Linked DNA regions of Danio rerio. The protein of the gene in region 1 interacts with the protein of each later gene in a pairwise test. Links are inferred from orthologs where the notes say so. Each region holds a gene or a part of one and is shown in the gene's direction. Other genes may lie near its edges.

The links. The genes of interacting proteins can lie anywhere in the genome.
Region 2: the proteins of tfip11 (region 1) and cfap206 interact in binary tests that used the Homo sapiens proteins (3 or more experiments, as listed by UniProt). The two-hybrid records come from large-scale screens. The link is inferred for Danio rerio from reciprocal best matches to the Homo sapiens genes TFIP11 and CFAP206.

Annotation. Positions count from the first base shown.
Region 1 is NC_133198.1:20,761,849-20,772,878, reverse strand, and holds the start of tfip11 (tuftelin-interacting protein 11), read left to right. Parts: upstream 1-5,803; 5' UTR 5,804-5,856; exon of another isoform or gene 5,857-5,949; intron 5,950-8,682; 5' UTR 8,683-8,809; intron 8,810-11,030. Other genes in the region: naca (nascent polypeptide-associated complex subunit alpha), read right to left, coding at 1-1,760. UniProt on the Homo sapiens protein: Involved in pre-mRNA splicing, specifically in spliceosome disassembly during late-stage splicing events. Intron turnover seems to proceed through reactions in two lariat-intron associated complexes termed Intron Large (IL) and Intron Small (IS).
Region 2 is NC_133195.1:2,740,199-2,750,678, reverse strand, and holds part of cfap206 (cilia- and flagella-associated protein 206), read left to right. Parts: intron 1-13; coding exon 14-228; intron 229-3,703; coding exon 3,704-3,823; intron 3,824-3,903; exon of another isoform or gene 3,904-4,110; intron 4,111-5,532; exon of another isoform or gene 5,533-6,073; intron 6,074-7,013; coding exon 7,014-7,194; intron 7,195-7,794; coding exon 7,795-7,935; intron 7,936-9,702; coding exon 9,703-9,929; intron 9,930-10,151; coding exon of another isoform or gene 10,152-10,166; coding exon 10,167-10,295; exon of another isoform or gene 10,296-10,480. UniProt on the Homo sapiens protein: Essential for sperm motility and is involved in the regulation of the beating frequency of motile cilia on the epithelial cells of the respiratory tract. Required for the establishment of radial spokes in sperm flagella.

The DNA of each region.
Region 1 (11,030 bases):
TTAATTTTAGGTGCAGCAGCTTCATTCTTAACTGGAGCCTCAGGTTTGGGGGCAGAAACAAGCTCAGCTTTGGAAGCTGGAGCAGCCTTGGGTTTGAGTGCAGCAGACTCGCTCTTAACTGGAGCCTCAGGTTTGGAGGCAGGAACAGGCTCAGCTTTAGGAGCAGGTGCAGCCTTAGCTTTAGGTGCAGCAGCCTCAATCTTAACGGGAGCTTCAGGTTTGGGGGCAAGAACCGGCTCAGCTTTAGGAGCAGGTGCAGCCTTAGCTTTAGGTGCAGCAGCCTCAATCTTAACGGGAGCCTCAGGTTTGGGGGCAGGAACTGGCTCAGCTTTAGGAGCTGGTGCAGTCTTAGCTTTAGGTGCAGCAGCCTCAATCTTAACGGGAGCCTCAGGTTTGGGGGCAGGAACTGGCTCAGCTTTAGGAGCTGGTGCAGTCTTAGCTTTAGGTGCAGCAGCCTCAATCTTAACGGGAGCCTCAGGTTTGGGGGCAGAAACAGGCTCAGCTTTAGAAGCTGGGACAGGCTTAGCTTTAGGTGCAGCAGCCTCTTTCTTAGCAGGAGCCTCAGGTTTAAGGGCAGAAACAGGCTCCGCTTTTGGACTTGGGGCAGCCTTAGCTTGAGGTGCAGCAGCAGCAACCTCTTTCTTAGTTGGAACCTCAGGTTTAGGGGCAGGAACGGGCTCAGGTTTAGGAGCTGAAGCAGACTTAACTTTAGGTGCAGCAGCCTCATTTTTAGTGGGAGCCTGAGGTTTAGTGATTTGGAAGGGCTCAACTTTTGGTGCAGCCTCAATTTTAGAGGCTATTGCTACTTTCTCTACCGGAGTGGTGGCACCTTTAGGGGTGGGGACAGGTTCAACTTTAGAAGCTGGCTTAGCTTTAGGAGCTGCTTTTGCTTTAGGGACAGATTCAACAGTTATAGTAGTAGGTGGCAAGGGGGGGAAAGCAGGCACTGTAAAAGGATTCTCAGGTGGAAGGAGAGGTGGCAGATCATCGTCCTCAAATGTTGCCAAAGGAGCAGGCTTTGGAAGAGTAGCAGTGGCTGGGGCATTTGGCTGGGCTGGGCCCGGCTTAGTAGGTGCTTTTGGTGAAGTAGTTTTAGTTTCTGAAACAGCAGTGCTTGGTGCCTTTGCAGCTTCAGACACTTTGGGTGGACTAGAAGCAACAGCTTCTGTAAACGATTTTGGTGCTGGGGCAGCAGCTTTGGAAGTTACTTTAAATGCCACAGGAGCCACAGCAATTTTGGGAGAGACAGGGATAGCATCTGCAGTACCTGCTGGTTTTGCTACCTCTGGTATAGCAAGAACTGGCAGAGCTGCACACTCTTGAGCAAGCTTGGAAGTAGAGGAAGGCACCTGCTCTTGTTCGGCAGGTTTAAAATTCTTTGCTTTTTGTTGCTTCCCTTGTTTGCCAGCCTTTACCACCTTGGGAGCAGTTTGCTCAGTTTTCCCAGCTAAAGGAGAGTCAGCAGGAGGAGAGGCTAAAGGAGAGCATGGAGGGGTAGCACGAGGGCCGGAGGCAGATTTAGGAGAAGTAGGAGAGCTTGAGGAAGCAGACAGAGAAGAGCGTTTCCTGCGTCCTGCAGGAACTGGCTTAGGAGCAGTGGTATGAGGAGATGAGGACAGTTTAGGGTTAGTTTTGCCATCTTTAGACTTTGCCTGAGAGGGGGCAGGGGCTGCAGCAGCAGGTGTGGCTAATGGAAATAAAAGGGCTAGAGTGACTTTTTGGCAATTAAAAAGTTGCATGGTGTAATCCATCACACCCATGCTGGTTACAAAGGATGCTTTTAGTTGCACAAGTGTTAAAATGCTCCTCAAATGCACAACTGGCTACCAAAGCAAAATCAAACAGACCAAATCTTGTTAGAAAAATTGAGAAACTAAAAACACCAATCAACTACACATGCAAAAATCTACACAATTGTCAGTAAACAGTGCAAAGATGATCATCACATCGAAATCCAATTAGGGTGGATACCAAAATAAGTGAAAATATAGTTCTCTACAACTAAGTGCAACAAAAAAGTATGAACAAAAATAAATCAAAATTGTTTATGAAGAGAAACAACATCTATGGTATTTAATTAGTCAGAAGGTGCTTTATCATAGGCCCAATATAAGAAATTAAATTAGAAAAAGGCTAAATAGTAGTTATAGTACAATAATACAATTAGTTAGAATTAATACAATCTGTAATATAGATACGCTGGTCTTATAACAAGCCAAGGATTAACTGGAAATTATAGCCTGGGCATTTCAGCAGTGTAGCGTAACTAAAATATGAGACTAAAAGAAACTCACGCATGTTTCAGTTCCATCAAAGACCATCAAAATGAAGCTTAAACAAATACTTATTAGGTGTTATTTTTGGCTATACAAGTCATCATTTTAAACTTAAGGGATTGTTTTATGTATATAGAAGCACGCATAACAAAACAGTATGACTTAAAAAAAAAAAAAAAAAAAAAAAACTGAGCACATGCTAGAAAATTCACTCTGACTTCAAACTTACTCTTTCAACAGTGCTAGCATGTGATAACTAAATAAATACAAATGTTCTGTGGTTTATGCTGCCAAATGTGCATGCTGAAGGAAGTTTACAATATGTTTATTAGACTACATTTAAAATTTAGCTTAGGCTATATCTGCATCTAAAAGACATGTTTGGGAGCAATAGGCAAGTGTTTATGGGTTTCATTGCTCCACATTTGAGTACAGAATGAAAGAGATATTAATTGTTGATATTGTGGCTTTCCTTTTTTAAACAACAAGTAGATTCAGGGCAGTCTCGTTAGCAGCATTAGCAGCTTTCACTTATGGTACCGGACTAGGCCCTCTGTACCAGTATATAAGAAAACATGGAAGTGTTAATTTTTTTCTTTAGAAGCCATTTGGTACTGAAGTACTGGTTCTTTTGGAAACACTAATATTGATATATACAGTACATGTTCTAAAAAGGTTCAAATGCATACATCTTAAAAACAAAGCACCAAAGAAACAAAACAAAAAAACACTATCTTTCTGGGTACAAACTATTTTCACTTGAATTAGTAAGCTAAAACAATTATATTAAACTACATGGTTTGTTTACTATAACACATATGCCAGTTCATGGTTAATTTCACTGGCTTGTAGTCATAACTTTAGCTTATCATAAATGGTAGCATCCTAAAGTGTTTGTACACTTAGAAGTTGACTTCACAAACCTATCAACTTCCAAATGTAAAATGCCTGTTGCACCCCACACTTTGGACAAAAGCTGTTGTTCCTTGTATACAATCTGAAATATATGTTCATGTTCCTAAAACAAAAAAAGGAAAGATCTTGCCAAAACAATTGCATTTTTTGAACAATCCCTGAACCAAACAGTACACTTTCTAACCTAACACAATATCCTAGGAGTAACAACTGTTTGAGTCATGATTACTAAAATCAGTGCAAAGTTAGGAAAATCATGCTGGGTTGCAATGTCCATACTCCATTCACACAAACCGTTAGACTTCGATTTACTGTACAGAGAAACCAACTGTTGACCAAGGTGGTCCTGGATTACTTAAAAAACAAAATGATCTTCCATTTCCTTGTGATGTAGCATTTTCATTCAAATAAAAGGTCAATGGAGTTAAATGATCTTTTAAACTAATGTGACTATTTTCTGAAACAAAATAAACTTTGAAAAACAATTAAATCGATAACATACAGCAGAATTGCCCTATAATGAAAATTGATGGCCAGTTTTTTTTTTATTACATGAATATAGTCCAAGCAACCCTTTAAAAACAGGGCTTCAGGCTCAGGTTATACTGTCAAAAGCAAAGACAAGTGAAACAGGAGAAACACTGTGAAACAAGTAAATCATCCATGTATTTACTTATAACTCAAATGTAACGGTATTAACTTAATGTTATATTTTTGGCAGAAAATGGCATACACATACAGAATTGTATAGTATTATACAATATATTATACATTATATTTAATGTACATTTATATTAAAGTATTAAAAGATTAAAAGCACAGGCTAATGTTTGTGCATTTATACCAGTGTGTTTTTATTGCAAGTTTAATAAGAATCCAAGTAACTTTTTGTCATATTTCAAGTTTTCATATAAACAATGTTATTGTGCACATAATTTTAATTAGTTTAAGTCTATAAACAAATATATATATATTTTTTTACATATACCACAGAAACAAAATATTTTTAAATTAGCTTGTTTTATCATAGCAGAGTGGCTAAATCCTGTGGGTTTTCATGAATTTGTCATTTAACATGCATGTATACTGTTTACCTCAATCTACAGTTAACTACATTTCTGAGACAAAAAATGCAATCCTATTATATTTTGAACCCGTGATACTAAAGCCTTCATTTGTAGAACTTGGCGGCACTGCTCTCAAAAGTTAGTACAGAGCCCTGCCTTTAAACGGACTAGTAATTTGTGTTTTTTTATTCAGGGAGTAGCTCAAGCACATTAACCTAAAACCTCTAGGAGGAGAAAAACTGACTCAACTGTATCCCCACCCTACACCACTCTGACTAGAGAAACTTGTTATGCGAAATCTCTACAACAGCTGCGAGAAGACCCTAAAAGAAACCTGAAGAAAGGCTAAAACAGGTGCAAAAACACCCTGAATAGAATAAGCAACATTTTGATAATAACCAGTACAATAAACAATATTTCCAGGACCACCTAGACAACCAGTGTTTAGTATCAGACATGCACTTTTAAAAGCAGTACTAACCCGTCTCAGCCTGGGGCTGCTGCATCTCCTGCTCTGTAACAGGGACAGTTTCTGTGGCTTCGCCTGGCATTCTGGACTAAAACAGAAATGAGAAACAATACATTATAAGCTTTACAAAGTCTGCATGAAGGTTTAGACATGCGTTAGTCAGTGCTTTGTGTTAATGAGGCTTTTTCTATTGAAACAGCAGCACTCTAGGCCTCTTCCTGTAGGCCTCTGCTGGCTGTCAGCTGTCCCACTACCGGCTCAGTTAAACACTGCTGTTGTCTCAAAGTATTGAGCTACATGATAACATTTCACAAGGCCACCGAACAGAATTTGTGAGCTTTATCAATTGCAAACAGGCAAACTGAACAAATAAGGCTTATAACGTCCCCAAACAGTTCCACACACTGTTCATGTGTGCGCGTGCACTGTGTTGCACATTTCACGTGTGTATCTTAACAGAGGAGCTCTGACACGTTACTGCTGAATGAAAGAACCTCATTACACAAATTACAATAAAACTTTTTTAAAGAAATGAGTTTATAATCCTTTATAATGTAACGTTAGGTTATACTGTTGACACAGCATGCGTTTTTAGAAACGTTACATGTTTAGGCAGCGAAGTTAACTATCCAGCCAGTGTTTATTGTCGCACGTCACGCAACAACCTTTCGTACGATTAAATTACAGATTTCTCACAATATATCGCTATAGTTGTATATAGTGCAACTTTTTGCAGGGTTAACATTTTCGTTAGACACAAAGCCCACGGCTGAAGTATAGCGAGCGGTGGTGCGTCTCGCTCCCCCATTTTGAACAGTCAGCCAGTTGTAATCATCAACATATTTCCTCAATAAGCCAAGCAAATTTACAAATCTTTACCATTCCAAACACAGCTACACTAAAGCATCAGCATAAGCTACAAATTATGTATTGAATTGGCTAAAGCAACGTTGGATGACAATAGATTTTACGCAGGAGTACTCACTAGTTCAGGGCACAGGATCCAAGATGGCTGTGAGAGAGGGTTTCTGACCTCTGCGTCACTCTGATGTCACTGCTCTGCTTCCGGTCCCAACAGGAAGTCACTGTCGGATAAGCTGAAGTCTATAACAAGAAACCACATTTTCAGGTAATTCTGTCTACACACTGTTATTTTTAAACACAATAGTTTATTTCAGAGTTGACCATGACGGAATATTGACAATACCTGATTTAAGGGAAGGTATGTGTCTTTGTTTACAACAGAGTGGCATTGCTAAGCTAACATGATTTTTCTGGGAAACGTTTGCTTCACGCACTCTAAGTTACTAATCAGTTTTTGTCATCCGAGAACAGGGTCCGTGTATCATCCGTTCATTTGATTATTCCTTTTATTACGGAAAACGAAACATCAGAAAAACGATGAATATTTCGTTTTTCTGTTTATTCTGTAGGCAGAAAAAACGGAAACTCATCTGTTATTCTGCTTATTAACTTAAAACGAAATATTAAAACAAACACAAAACCAAAACGAAATAATGAGTCAAAAAATGGTCCGTGTACATTTTGTTCATTTTTTTTCCAGTTTCAAACGGAATAAAGGAAATGGAGAAAACTGCCGTTTTTCCGTTTTTCTTTTGCTCACGAGAAAACGAAAAAACAAGATTTTGGCTGGATTTTCGTTTTTTGGTTTAGGGTAGGAAAACGGATAAACGACTTTAAAATTCATTTTACACATGTAGGCGGTGCTGAAACGCCCACTTTCCTCTAATTGGTCAACCAAATCTGCGCTCGTGACGTCACCCTCAAAATAAAAGCCTTACACGCAGGCTTTTAATTATTATTATTTAATTATATATATATTAACTAAGTTTACAGATTCTATCATTTGAACCACACACATTTAGCAGGCTTACATTCATTGCGTATGTATAAATTAAATAAAAACGTAAATCAGCAGTATTCTTAGACATTTGTCATTAAAATAAGGTCATAGTTCACTGCCAAGCTTCTTGCTGCTGTGCACCTGATGCAGAGCAAAGATAGCCATTTCCGAGCAGCACCTGGTTTACATGATTGTTTCAGAGCTATTGTAGGCCTAAATAATAGCCTACTCTGTATAAAATAATAATTTATTATTATTATTATTATTATTATTATTATTATTATTATTATTATTAGGCCTATTATTAGCAGTATTGTTATTATTATTATTTACTTAGTTATTTAATGGTTGTAAGAACACAATGGACCCTGCATGGGGCTATAATAAATGGTACCTGTTTCTATTGGATTTTCTCCTATTTTAATTTAATATGTGCCTTTAGCCTATTGTAAATATTTATTTGATAATTAATACTTTTTTATTGCAACGTCAAAGTAGGCCTGTCTTATTATTATTATTTTTTGTTATTATTTTGTCGTTGTTGTTGTTATTATTATTGTAGCAGGGACATAGCCACAGGTGTGGCAGAGTGTGCTGGTGCCACCCAAAGTGGCATCTTGCACCTGAAAATAGATGCCTTCGCACTCAAGCACGCGCAAAAAAACTTGCACAGGCAAAAGTAATGATGAATGTGTTGAAGGAAAAAAAAAACATTCTAATTATTTGTTAATTAAATAGTGCAACATTATTCTCAGTCAGTGTAGGCTGAAAAAATTAAGATCGCCAGCATTTCAAGGGTGGTTTTATTTTTAGTTCATTGCTGTGACGCGCTATATTTCACTAAGGCTACATGAGACTGCGCATCTTGCTTATTTTCTCTATTTTACATACAGAACATATCATACAGTCCAGGTTCTACCGTTCTAGTGAGTGTGGGGCATTGCTTTACGGTGGTAAAGTGGATTATTTCTTGGCAAATTCATAATGATTCACTTTGTTTAGTAATAAATTTCATAGTTATAAAATAACTACATTTCAAGAATATGTTAACACTTTCAACTATTTAGGATTATTTATTGCATCAAAAGTAATTTCAAAGTAACATTAAATGTACGTATAAACTGCTTAATTTGTGTGTGTAAACACCTAAGATGCAAAAAGCTTATTTAGACCAGAATAGGCCTACTAAATGCAACGGTCAATGTATGTAAACTTATGACCTAAAATGTCTTAAATGACTAAATGTAAGTCTTTTTAAGTTTTTAAATAATTTAAGTTTAACATAAATGATTTAAACTTTAAACTTCAAATTAACAGAGTATGGCAAATAAATTGTTTATTAAATGGAGGTCAGGTGTCTATCTTAATTATAATTATTAAATATTATGACACTACAGTGGTGTATTGGAGAGTACGCACCTTTTAATTAATTAATTTTAAATAAGTGGTTTATCCTAAATAAAATGCAATGGGATCGGTGTGCAATGAATAGTTTGAAAACCCCTGGTTCAGACTAGACGAGCTAGCTGTCTGTGCGCTGCGCTAATAACTTGGCATTTGCTCTTTTCGGTGCTGCCAGATGCATTTATAGTGCATAAAAATAAAAAAGGTAATTCGGTAAAGCGCGCGATGCGCGCAGAAATAAGCGCACTATATGCATATGTCGAATTAAGTTCTCTTTTTCTTTAATCAAGACTTTTCCATTCGAGGAATTACAGTTATTAATAGCTTAATCCTTATAAACGATCAGTTTATAAAATACACAATTTACGGATCAAGCCTAATGAAGAATAAGAAGAATATGCAACGCATTATGATCCTTGAATGATCAGAGCGCATTTATATAAACTATATATTTTATATATTCCATAAATATTAAAAAACATTATACATTTAAAGTAATAAAACATTATATGTTATAAAATCTAAACTATTATTTAGGCTACAGGCTGTTCAGCGCGTGCGTCAAAGAAAAGACATGACACAATCTCTATAAAAACTAGTTGTTTATTTACAATATCTAAAGGGATATAAAACATCTAACATGCATCTCCATTCTCAACGAGTTTCTGTGTTCTGCATTCTTCACAGACCGAGATCTCATTCCGAGGTAATCTGTAAATATTCTCATTTGGTTCTGGCACATTCTTGATTAAAGGTGAAACTGACCGGCGCAACGGATGATTTGTCATCTAGAGTGACTACAGTTATAATACAGGTTATGGAACTATTTCACTTTAATTTCATATTATTATTTTATTAAACAAACAAACCAGTTTTTGTTTTGGCTCTGCATGCAGCGTATTGGATCTTTGAAGCATTGCACTTCAAATGTTATTCCTTTTTTTTATTATTGTATTTTTAATATTTTTAATTATACAACACAAAATTGGTTCTAAACAGATACATTTTCCTATAGGCTATAATGAAGTGTATATTTTTGTTCACACAGGTCCTATACAAAACTGTGTGGATGGATGATTTGTTTCTCCGTGAAAATCACTCATTTAATAAGCAAAACAGGCCAAAATGTTGTTTAGCTTGCGTCAAACTGGATGGACAATTTACAAACATATTGAATACAAAGGCTGGTTATTTTATGCAATGAGGGACCTATTACAAATTAAAGAAAATTATTTGCATATTAAAACGAAAATATATAATACAACAACAGATCCTACCTCGTAAGAAATGACTTTAGATAATGTAAATAAGCATCAAGTTTTTTTTTGAGATTGTGTGTCTAATTCAGTAGTGTAGTGCGTTCGCGTGGGTTTCCTCCGGGTGCTCCGGTTTTCCCCACAGTAAAAAGACATGCGGTACAGGTGAATTGGGTAGGCTAAATTGTCCGTACTGTATAAGTGTGTGTGTATGTGTGGATGTTTCCCAGAGATGGGTTGTGGCTGGAAGGGCATCCGCTGCATAAAAACTTGCTAAATAAGTTGGCGGTTCATTCCGCTGTGGCGACCCCAGATTAATAAAGGGACTAAGCCGACAAGAAAATGAATGAATAATGTGCAATACTAATTTAAAATACGTATCACTAACCTTATATGTGAAATAGCAGGGCCCGCTGTAGCACTTTCTCAAGAAGAGCAAATGTCAAATTATTAGCGCAACGCACATGTAGCGAGCTCATCTGTTTGTCGGAACTACTAGACACAATTTTTTTATCAACTATAATGTGTTTAATTAGTTAATTTGAAATTTATGTCATTATTCCAGCAATAATTGTTGAGTGAAAGAATGCGCTAGAAATATGCATTGCGGCTCCCTTTATTGTACAGGCTTATTGCACTTAAACTTTTTTAGGTTCGGCTCTCGAATTAGTAAGGTTATGAGTAAATGTTATTTAAAATATTTAAAGCCTGCCATCTAGCCTACAATAACAGCAAATTTAATTAAAAAAAATAATAATAAGACAGGCCTACTTTGGCGTTGCAATAAAATAGTATTAATTATCAAATAAATAATTACAATATATAATTAAAATAGGAAGAAATAAATGAAAACAAATGGTACCCTTTGTTTTTATAGCAGGGCCCAAAGTGTTCTTATTCGGGTTCTGCTAACAACTATTAAAAAGAAAAAAAACACACCAAACAATAAAAACACTAGTAACTGATAATAATAATAATAATAATAATAATAATAATAATAATTATTATTATTATTATTATTATTATTATTATTATTATTATAAAGCCCTTGCTCTGAAACAATCATGCAAACCAGGTGCTGCTCGGAAATGGCTATCTTTGCTCTGCATCAGGTGCACAGCAGCAAGAAGCTTGGCAGTGAACTATGACCTTATTTTAATGACAAATGTCTAAGAATACTGCTGATTTACGTTTTTATTTAATTTATACATACGCAATGAATGTAAGCCTGCTAAATGTGTGTGGTTCAAATGATAGAATCTGTAAACTTAGTTAATATATATATAATTAAATAATAATAATTAAAAGCCTGCGTGTAAGGCTTTTATTTTGAGGGTGACGTCACGAGCGCAGATTTGGTTGACCAATTAGAGGAAAGTGGGCGTTTCAGCACCGCCTACATGTGTAAAATGAATTTTAAAGTCGTTTATCCGTTTTCCTACCCTAAACCAAAAAACGAAAATCCAGCCAAAATCTTGTTTTTTCGTTTTCTCGTGAGCAAAAGAAAAACGGAAAAACGGCAGTTTTCTCCATTTCCTTTATTCCGTTTGAAACTGGAAAAAAAATGAACAAAATGTACACGGACCGTACACGGACCATTTTTTGACTCATTATTTCGTTTTGGTTTTGTGTTTGTTTTAATATTTCGTTTTAAGTTAATAAGCAGAATAACAGATGAGTTTCCGTTTTTTCTGCCTACAGAATAAACAGAAAAACGAAATATTCATCGTTTTTCTGATGTTTCGTTTTCCGTAATAAAAGGAATAATCAAATGAACGG
Region 2 (10,480 bases), on another chromosome or scaffold:
TTTCCTCCTGCAGTGCCGTCTATCCTGAACGAGAAGCTGCCGGGCGTCGTCTCAGATCTGGAGCGTGAACTGGCGTCCTGCGAGCGTTTGTGCTGGCAGTACACCGGCCTGCTGGAGCTGATCTCTGAGCGGGACACAGCACACAGCCAGAGCCCCGTCCCGCCCCGGCTGCTCACACAGGCTCTGTACAACACACGGCAGCATGAGGCCTTCCTCAGACTCACACTGGTGCGTTCACACTCATCTCTGCTGCTAAAATAATAATAAGCCAAACTACAGCTGCCAGAGAGCTCTGAATCAACATGTTTAAACTGATCTCTGATATCTACAGAGAAGGTGTGAAGATTTGCTGAGTGCAAACGATCTCCAGAAACAGTTTAACATCTTAGTTTACCCCCTTAGGAGTCTGCCCTGGGATAAAATGATCAGTTTTTACCTTATTTGGAAGGGTCATGAATATTAATGAGTGTCCTGTCACTGACGTTTACGCGATGTAGGGTTGGGTTAATAGACCATGCCATTGTCCATCGCCGATGGTTGATAGATATCACGATGCTGATCCGGCATTGCGATCCTCCGCCCCCGTTGCAGCAGCAACCCTCTCGCGAAAACGACACATTTAGGCCCCGTTCACACTAATACGTCTTACACAATGACTGTAAAAAATATGGACGACGCGACAGCCCCTTTTCCCATTAAACGCCTTGAGGGCAAAACACCTGCTTTACGGGCACAAACTGTCTCAAAAGACTGCTGAAATTGGAGCCTTGACATGCGCAGAAGGACTGTCTGATGGAGCCAGAGGAGGAGCCGCGAAAATGAGTCGAGCTTCCAACCAAACGCTTTATGTAAAATCAACCACGCCCCCCGAACTTCTCAGCATGCGTTTGCTGTCATATCAACACAAATGGATGTAATAACGTTAACAAATATGAGTTTTTTTTTATATTCAATCGCGCCAGCTCCGGGCCGCAGCGCTTAACCTACTCGCGGCGTCGCGGGCTGATTCCGCCTCGCATGCGGCAGCGCCGGCTCGCTCGGCCGCCGCATCTGGCTCGATTGACTCGGGCTGGAATCGGGCAGTGAGTCCAGGCATCCGGAGTAGGTCCAGCAGAGGTAGTCAGTCTGAGCTCTGAGGGGTAAGTCTCCGGCAGGCGAGAATCTAGCCGAACTGGTCCGAGTGTATTTTGTCATCTGGGTGGTTAGGCGTGTATCAGCAAACTAATAAAGCCCGAAAAAAGCTCTGACCTTAGCGAATAAACAGTGTTCCACCAGGATCATGTATGTCAGAAACTGTAGTTTACTGCTGAACTCATCTTATCATGGTAAAATAACACAGAAATCGAATAAAAACACTTCAGTCTCCTGCCGAAGCTCAGACGCGCTGCTTTGAGAAACTGTCAATCACCGCTGTCAATCACGATGACACGCCCAGCATTAAATTACTGCTAAAAACAAACTGTTTACAAAAATGAAGATCTGCACCTATTTCAGCACAATAACCAGCGCCTTAATCCACCAGAACCATCTTTCGGGACATTTTATTGCAAGTGTAATAATTTTTTTTACTTGGGCTCAAGTCTCCTTCATTAACACGGAGGAGGCGGGCTTTATGACTTGTACTGCAGCCAGCCCCAAGGGGGCGATCTAACGGCCGAGACCTTCACTCAAACGTAGGCTTGCGGCACACTTGATCTTACAGTTTTTCTTGATTGATTTGATGCAGCCGTCAACTGAAACTCCACATTTTCAAAACAGTTAACACACACTGGCCTAAACAGCGGCACTCTTGGTCAAAATGACACAATTTGCTTGCAAAATGCACATACCGTGTCAAAACATTTAACATATACAACAAAAGCTAGTTTTACCTTCAAACAACACAACTTGCAAACAAGTATATGAACTCTTTCAATTAATCATTACACAATAGACAACAAAATACAGAACTCAGTGTGAATCAGTGCACTGTTGCTTGACATTGTAGCCTATTGCCAATGCCATTTGTTGTCTTTCTATTTGGGCTGTCAAATTTGCCTTTTTGCAAAGAGAATTGGATCCAGAATAAGAAATACTTTGATTAAATTTATATTGAATTCATGACATTTTTCAAACTGTGGCTGAAAAATGCAATACTGTAAAAAAATGCACACATGTAAACCAATATACAGTGAAATCTTTTGGGAATATGGCACATAGCCACTATTGACCTTCTCCATCCATGCTGTCACAGAACAACACAGACCTTCCACCATTTTCAATGTTTGCAGACTGATTGCTAAATGAAGATTTGTGTGAAGGAGTGTCAAACCGGTGCTTCAGTGGATTCATACTGATCTTGGTGGTTTCTAATGGTTAGGAATAGATGGTTTCTGTTTGGTTATCATAGCTAAAACAATGGAGTTTGGACTGCTTGAATGACATCCGTGTTAACGCTTTTGAAAAATGGTGGGGAAAATGTGTCAACCCAATGAGAAAGGGTTTACACATTTGCAAGACCTGTCTTCTGCTCTGCTGTGATAGTGATAATGAAAATGAAGTGGAACCTAGTTTCTTTAACCAGGTCAAAGCAAACAAGAAAAACTGTAATTTTAAAATGCCATTTTAAAACGAAAACAATCCACATCCACACTGGCGTTTCATTTAGTATTTTTGAACAAGCCTCCGTCCACACGATACCGATGAAAATGCACACCACATGACCACACACACGTACACTTTGTCATGTGCTCCAGCGTCTGAGCTCCAGCAGTCCAGTAGAGTGCTGAGTACGCCCTAAAGCCGAAAGGAAAATGAATGATTGAATGAATGAATGTAAGGGCGTACTCACACTATGTACAGTTGCCTTGAACCAGGACAAAGCACGCTTGTCCCCACCTCTCGTCTCCCCTAACAGCCCGCACTCACATTACATTCGGGCCTGGGCACGTCATTGATGCTGCGCTGTCCAGTAAGCGCTCTCGCTCAGCACAGTGGAGATTTCTTCAGTCATATCGCTTTAGTGGTTTGATATGCAGTGACATGCAGTCAAATATTTCGCTGAACAGATCAGCCACTTTTGACGCTCATAAACAATCATAAAGTCCTCGAGCTGCAAGAATTAGGAGGTTTGCTGAAGGTGCAGCTGTGGTGCAGTGAGTGGTTTGCGTCTTTAATAATCTACGACAGTTTGTGATTATTGAACGGTAAGAATGATTAATAAATCCATATCAAACAGTCCCTTAAAAGTCACGTCTCGCTTTCAGTTTCGGGCTCAGGCACGTTTTGCAATCTCACACAATTGTATGGTACTCAAGCCCACCTCTTCGAACCGGGCCAGGGCTGGCCAAGTGAACCGTGCCTGACCCTGATTCAGAGCACTCACACTTCTCAAACGATCCAGGAAACGGGCCTGGGCATGATTCAGATAGCATGGTGTGAGTAGGCGCTCAGTGATCTGGAAAGGCTGATGTCTAACACATAGACACACATACTTCAAGAGGAGCGAGAATAGACAGATATTGTGTAGAATATACTGACCCTAACAAATGTTTTTCATCATGCATATTCATATTCAGCAGAAGGGTTTTTATTTATTTGAGTCAAATACAGCATGTAATTGTGAATGAGCACTAATGTTGAGTTTTCAGACAACAGGGGGTGTAACGAATGAGTGTTTAATTATGTAAACAGTGTAATAATGTGGTGTTGATGTTTCCATCAGGCGGACGTCATCCTGTGTGCACAGGAAGTGACACGTTTACAGTCGGATCTGATGAGTCGAATGACACTCCTGAGAGACGCCATTCACACCAAAACTACAGTGCCAACAACACACGTGTTTGTGAGTCCCTCATATACTGCATTTTACACTGTTTCACCATAGTAACTGATATTAAAGTGTATTGCGGTCTTTCACTACAGAAAAACCACAGTAAGAGCTGAGTGATATGACACAGTGCATAAATCTGCATTAAAGTCTGTGTGAACCGAAAGATGCAGAGACGTTTATTGCAGAAACTGAATATTGAGACTGATGTCTAACACATGCACAGACACGGACACTCCAAGAGGAATGAGAATACACAGATATTGTTTTATAGCTGTTTGTGTGTGTGTGTGTGTGTGTGTGTGTGTGTGTGTGTGTGTGTGAGCTGATTAGTAATGTTAGTGTGTGTGTGTGTGTGTGTGTGCTGTTAGTGTGTGTGCGCTGATTAGTAATGTTAGTGTGTTTTTGTGAGCGCGGTTTAGTGTTGTTAGTGTGTGTGCGCTGATTAGTAATGTTAGTGTGTGTGTGTGAGCTGATTAGTAATGTTAGTGTGTTGTTAGTGTGTGTTGTGTGTGCAGTTTAGTGTTGTTAGTGTGTGTGTGTGTGTATATTGTGTGTGTGCGCTGATTAGTATAGTGTGTGTGTGTGTGTGCTGTATAGTGTTGTTAGTGTGTGTGTGCTGTTAGTGTGTGTGCGCTGATTAGTAATGTTAGTGTGTTGTTAGTGTGTGTTGTGTGTGTGCAGTTTAGTGTTGTTAGTGTGTGTGTGTGTGTATATATTGTGTGTGTGCGCTGATTAGTAATGTTAGTGTGTGTGTGCTGTATAGTGTTGTTAGTGTGTGTGTGCTGTTAGTGTGTGTGCGCTGATTAGTAATGTTAGTGTGTGTGTGAGCGCGGTTTAGTGTTGTTAGTGTGTGCTGTGTGTGCGCTGATTAGTAATGTTAGTGTGTGTGTGTGCTATTTAGTGTTGTTAGTGTGTGCGCTGATTAGTAATGTCAGTGTGTGTGCGGTTAGTGTGTGTGTGAGCGCGGTTTAGTGCAGTTTAGTGTTGTTAGTGTGTTTGTGTGTGTGTGTGTGTGCGCTGATTAGTAATGTTAGTGTGTGTGTGTGTGTGTGTGCGGTTTAGTGTTGTTAGTGTGTGTGAGCTGATTAGTAATGTTAGTGTGTGTGCGCTATTTAGTGTTGTTAGTGCGTGCGCTGATTAGTAATGTCAGTGTGTGTGCGGTTAGTGTGTGTGTGAGCGCGTTTAGTGTTGTTAGTGTGTGTGTGTGCGCTGATTAGTAATGTTAGTGTGTGTGTGTGTGTGTGTGTGTGTGTGCAGTTTAGTGTTGTTAGTGTGTGTGTGTGCGCTGATTAGTAATGTTAGTGTGTGTGTGCAGTTTAGTGTTGTTAGTGTGTGTGCGCTGATTAGTAATGTTAGTGTGTGTGTGTGTACAGTTTAGTGTTGTTAGTGTGTGTGCGCTGATTAGTAATGTTAGTGTGTATGCGCTGATTAGTAATGTTATTGTGTGTCTGCTGTTTAGTGTTGTTAGTGTGTGTGCGCTGATTAGTAATGTTAGTGTGTGTGTGTGTGTACAGTTTAGTGTTGTTAGTGTGTGTGCGCTGATTAGTAATGTTAGTGTGTGTGTGTGTGTACAGTTTAGTGTTGTTAGTGTGTGTGCGCTGATTAGTAATGTTAGTGTGTATGCGCTGATTAGTAATGTTATTGTGTGTGTGTGTGTACAGTTTAGTGTTGTTAGTGTGTGTGCGCTGATTAGTAATGTTAGTGTGTGTGTGTGTGTACAGTTTAGTGTTGTTAGTGTGTGTGCGCTGATTAGTAATGTTAGTGTGTGTGTGTGTGTACAGTTTAGTGTTGTTAGTGTGTGTGCGCTGATTAGTAATGTTAGTGTGTGTGTGTGTGTACAGTTTAGTGTTGTTAGTGTGTGTGCGCTGATTAGTAATGTTAGTGTGTATGCGCTGATTAGTAATGTTATTGTGTGTCTGCTGTTTAGTGTTGTTAGTGTGTGTGCGCTGATTAGTAATGTTAGTGTGTGTGTGTGTGTACAGTTTAGTGTTGTTAGTGTGTGTGCGCTGATTAGTAATGTTAGTGTGTGTGTGTGTGTGTACAGTTTAGTGTTGTTAGTGTGTGTGCGCTGATTAGTAATGTTAGTGTGTATGCGCTGATTAGTAATGTTATTGTGTGTCTGCTGTTTAGTGTTGTTAGTGTGTGTGCGCTGATTAGTAATGTTAGTGTGTGTGTGTGTACAGTTTAGTGTTGTTAGTGTGTGTGCGCTGATTAGTAATGTTAGTGTGTGTGTGTGTGTACAGTTTAGTGTTGTTAGTGTGTGTGCGCTGATTAGTAATGTTAGTGTGTATGCGCTGATTAGTAATGTTATTGTGTGTCTGCTGTTTAGTGTTGTTAGTGTGTTCGCTGATTAGTAATGTTAGTGTGTGTGTGTGCAGTTTAGTGTTGTTAGTGTGTGCGCGCTGATTAGTAATGTTAGTGTGTGTGTGTGTGTGTGTGTGTGTGTGTGTGTGCAGTTTAGTGTTGTTAGTGTGTGGGCGCTGATTAGTAATGTTAGTGTGTGTGTGTGTGCAGTTTAGTGTTGTTAGTGTGTGTGCGCTGATTAGTAATGTTAGTGTGTGTGTGTGTGTGTGTGTGTGTGTGTGTGTGTGTGTGCAGTTTAGTGTTGTTAGTGTGTGGGCGCTGATTAGTAATGTTAGTGTGTGTGTGCGCTATTTAGTGTTGTTAGTGTGTGTGCGCTGATTAGTAATGTCAGTGTGTGTGCGGTTAGTGTGTGTGAGTGCGGTTTAGGGCAGTTTAGTGTGTGTGTGTGTGTGTGTGTGTGTGTGCAGTTTAGTGTTGTGTGTCTGCTGTTTAGTGTTGTTAGTGTGTTCGCTGATTAGTAATGTTAGTGTGTGTGTGCAGTTTAGTGTTGTTAGTGTGTGTGCGCTGATTAGTAATGTTAGTGTGTGTGTGTGTGTGTGTGTGCAGTTTAGTGTTGTTAGTGTGTGGGCGCTGATTAGTAATGTTAGTGTGTGTGTGTGCGCTATTTAGTGTTGTTAGTGTGTGTGCGCTGATTAGTAATGTCAGTGTGTGTGCGGTTAGTGTGTGTGAGCGCGGTTTAGGGCAGTTTAGTGTGTGTGTGTGTGTGTGTGTGCAGTTTAGTGTTGTTAGTGTGTGTGCGCTGATTAGTAATGTTAGTGTGCGTGTGTGGTGGTTAGTTAGTGTTTGTTTTGTAGTGGCGTCATGGTAACTAGTTTCTGTGTGTTCCTCTCCTCTTCAGCCTCATTTCAGTGCAGTGGGCCGGCTGTGGGCGGGGCTAGAGCAGGAGATGCTGCTACTGAGCATGCTCACTAATGTGGCGTCTGGACTGAGAGTCTTCCTGACAGCAGAGTCTCTGCTGACCCCAGATCAGATGGAGCTCCCGGTGCGCACTGATGCTGACAGATGCTCTGGGACAGCAGGTCACACACACACACACACACACACACACACAAACACACGCACACGTGTTAATATGTCACTCAGATCTGCTGGTTTCACTCAACTCTTCATCGACACGACTCCAGATTAAGGGTTTCTGGAGCATCATGGGGTTATAAAAGCTCTTTTCCAGACACTGAAAGTCAGAGATGTTTATATCTTTAATAATTAGTTATTCTGAAGTTCATATTTTTAATATTTAGTTATATTTCGTTTATATTTCTGTCAAAGTTCTGAAATATTAGGGATATTGACTGTAGATTTAGATGTAGTTTTCTAGGGTGTGTGTGAAGCCGACAGGAGCAGCATCTCTCTGTTAGCATCTGACTCTGCTATTCAATCATGTTTGAACTACAGATTTGAGTAAATTAATTGTTATTCATTGTTTCAATCTTATGTTGAAGGCTGATATATTGCTGCAGTGCATTCTGGGAGCCGTGCATGAGTTTTGTAGGATTCTCCCAGCATGCACTGCAGCATGAAGAATATCATCGTTGTTGAGATTCATACTCTGATTCCTGATGTCTTTGTGTGTGAAGAGATTCCTAATGTTGTGTGTGTGTGTGTGTGTGTGTGTTCAGAGGAGCGTGTGCTGGTGTCAGAGACGAGCTCGTGTGAATGCTGTTTTCCTGAAAGCACTGCAGACTTCCAGCATCTGCCGCTGCAGTATAACGGCTTCTGCGGAGTCGCTCTGGTGGACAGAAATGGCCTTTTACTGCCAGGTACAAACAGGAAACAGTAGCTGAGATTTTATCACTGCAAAAACAAAGTGTATGATTGATTATTGCTGTTGTTGTGGAATATTGCACTGTTCATAATAAATTATTATGGCGGCTTGAGAAAGCAGCATACTGTTCTAAACTTCTTATTCTTCCGTCGTCTTCTTCAGAGATTAACTTCTAAATGCATCTCCTCCTAGACTGTTCAAACTACAACCACCAAACTAACACCAAACCTCCAAACTATACTGAATTAAGTTGCCATATCTTTTCCAACTGATCCGACTTAGGCTTTTCTGAAAACTGACCTGGAATATTCAGAAAAGTCCCATTGACTTAACATTGGACTAAAATTTGTGATTCTCATAACTTTGCGCCAGACTGTCATACAGACTTAAGGTTGGGCTCATTTATCTCAGACTACCAATCTGCCAATCACTGATGACCTTTCAACTTTTTAGCCACACCTAGCAACCACTTACGGCACCCTAGCAACTGTCCCATAGCCTTCCATTGTTACAACTGCCATTGACTTTACATTGGACATACTGACAACATACCAATCCATACTAACGGACATACTGATCATACTAGTTACATGCTAATTCATACTATACAAATACTAGCAACATGCTAATTTATACTAAATGCATGCTTGCCACATGCTAGTTTATACTAGAAACATGCTAATAACATGCTAATTCATACTAGAACCATCCTAACAATGTGTTAATTTAAGCTTGAAAAATGCTAGCATAATGCTAATACTAGATACATAATACTAGAAACATGCTAATTTATGTTAGCAACCACTCAGAACACCTTAGCAAACGCCTAGCAACACCTTAGCAACCACCCAGCAATGCCGTAGTAACCACCTTGTAACACCTTAGCAACCACTCAGAACACCCTAGCAACCACCTAACATCACCTTAGCATCCACCTATGCCTTAGCAACCATCTAGACACCAGTAAAAACACCATAGCAACCACTTAGCAACCCCCTAGAAAGACCTGAGCAATCACCTAGCAACGCCTTAGCAACCACTAAGAAAACCCTAGCAATCACCTAGCAACACTTAAGGAAGTGCCTAGCACTCCTTAATAATCACCTAGAACATCTAGGCAACCACCTAGCAATGACCTAGCAACACCTTAGCAATAACCTAGAACACCTTAGCAACCACCTAGCAACACCTTAGCAACCATTCTGAACACTGTAGCAACCACCTAATAACACCTTAGTAACAACCTAGAACACCCTAGCAACCACCTAGCAACCAATCAGAACAGCTTAGCAACCACCTAGAACACCCTAGCAACCGTCTAGCAATGCCTTAGTAACCACTCAGAACACCCTAGGTACACCTTAGCAAGAAACATGACAACTCATACTAGAAACCTGAGAATGCAAGCTTCTTAAAAACTACTATAATGATTTAACTTTTAAAGCTACTTCAAACTTGTAGACGAGGCTTTCTCAAGCCACCATAAAGTTTGTCTATTAACTTTTATAATATTTTGTTTATTGTAAATTAACATCTCTCCAATGACATCTGTTTTCTGATTGGTGTTTACTGTTATGAGGGTGGAGTCAACCTGTCACTCAAATGAGATCCACCAATAGCAGAATACAACTGTCCAATCAGTTCCCTGTGCACAAAATCAAGCCCCGCCCACATTTGTTCGTCATCCTGAAGTGAGATTGTCACAATAGAGGAGAAAAGATAAGAAACAAATGCTAACGTGCGCATGCTCTCCTGTTCTCAGGTAACACAAGCATCGGCGTGCTGAAGCACAAGGAGAAATATTACGCGTTCAGCAGCAGGAGCGCAGCATACGAGTTCTCCTGTCGAGCAGATGAATACACAGCAGCGGTGCTGGAGACGGCCAGCAGAACACCTGAACTCATCCAGCTGCTGCAGCTGCAGCAGCACTTCACCAGCAGCACTGCATACTCTCAGCTGCCAGCGGGACACCAGAGTCTGACAGCAGGGGTGAGGAACAATACAGCTCTGAAGAGAAGATCCAGAGCCCTCAGAGAGGAGTTCTGAGACACACATGCTTTATTACTAAAGAGAACTAAAGTTCCTATGGGTGATAAACAGGCCATACACTAACGAAACAGAAAAGTGCAGTCAATCTTTCCTTATTTGCATTGTTGTTAGTTTGTGATATCTGATGTGTGTGTTGTAAGGTGTGTGTTGTTCGTTTCTCAGATGCCATCCGGACAGAAACTGCTGCTGAAAAGCATCTCTAAAAGTGACGCCGGTGTTCAGACGGAGATCCACCCTCTGCAGAGCAACATCTGCACCTCCTATGAGTGGAACGAGTGGGAGATGAGAAGAAAAGCCATTAAACTGGTGAGACACACTGATCTCAGACCAGCTAGATGAACACGCTGATCTCAGGTTAGCTAGAGGAACACACTGATCTCAGACCAGCAAGATAAACACTCTGATCTCAGGTCAGCTAAATAATCACACGGATCTTAGGTCAGCTAGAGGAATGCACTGATCTCAGGTTAGCTGGATGAACACTACACACA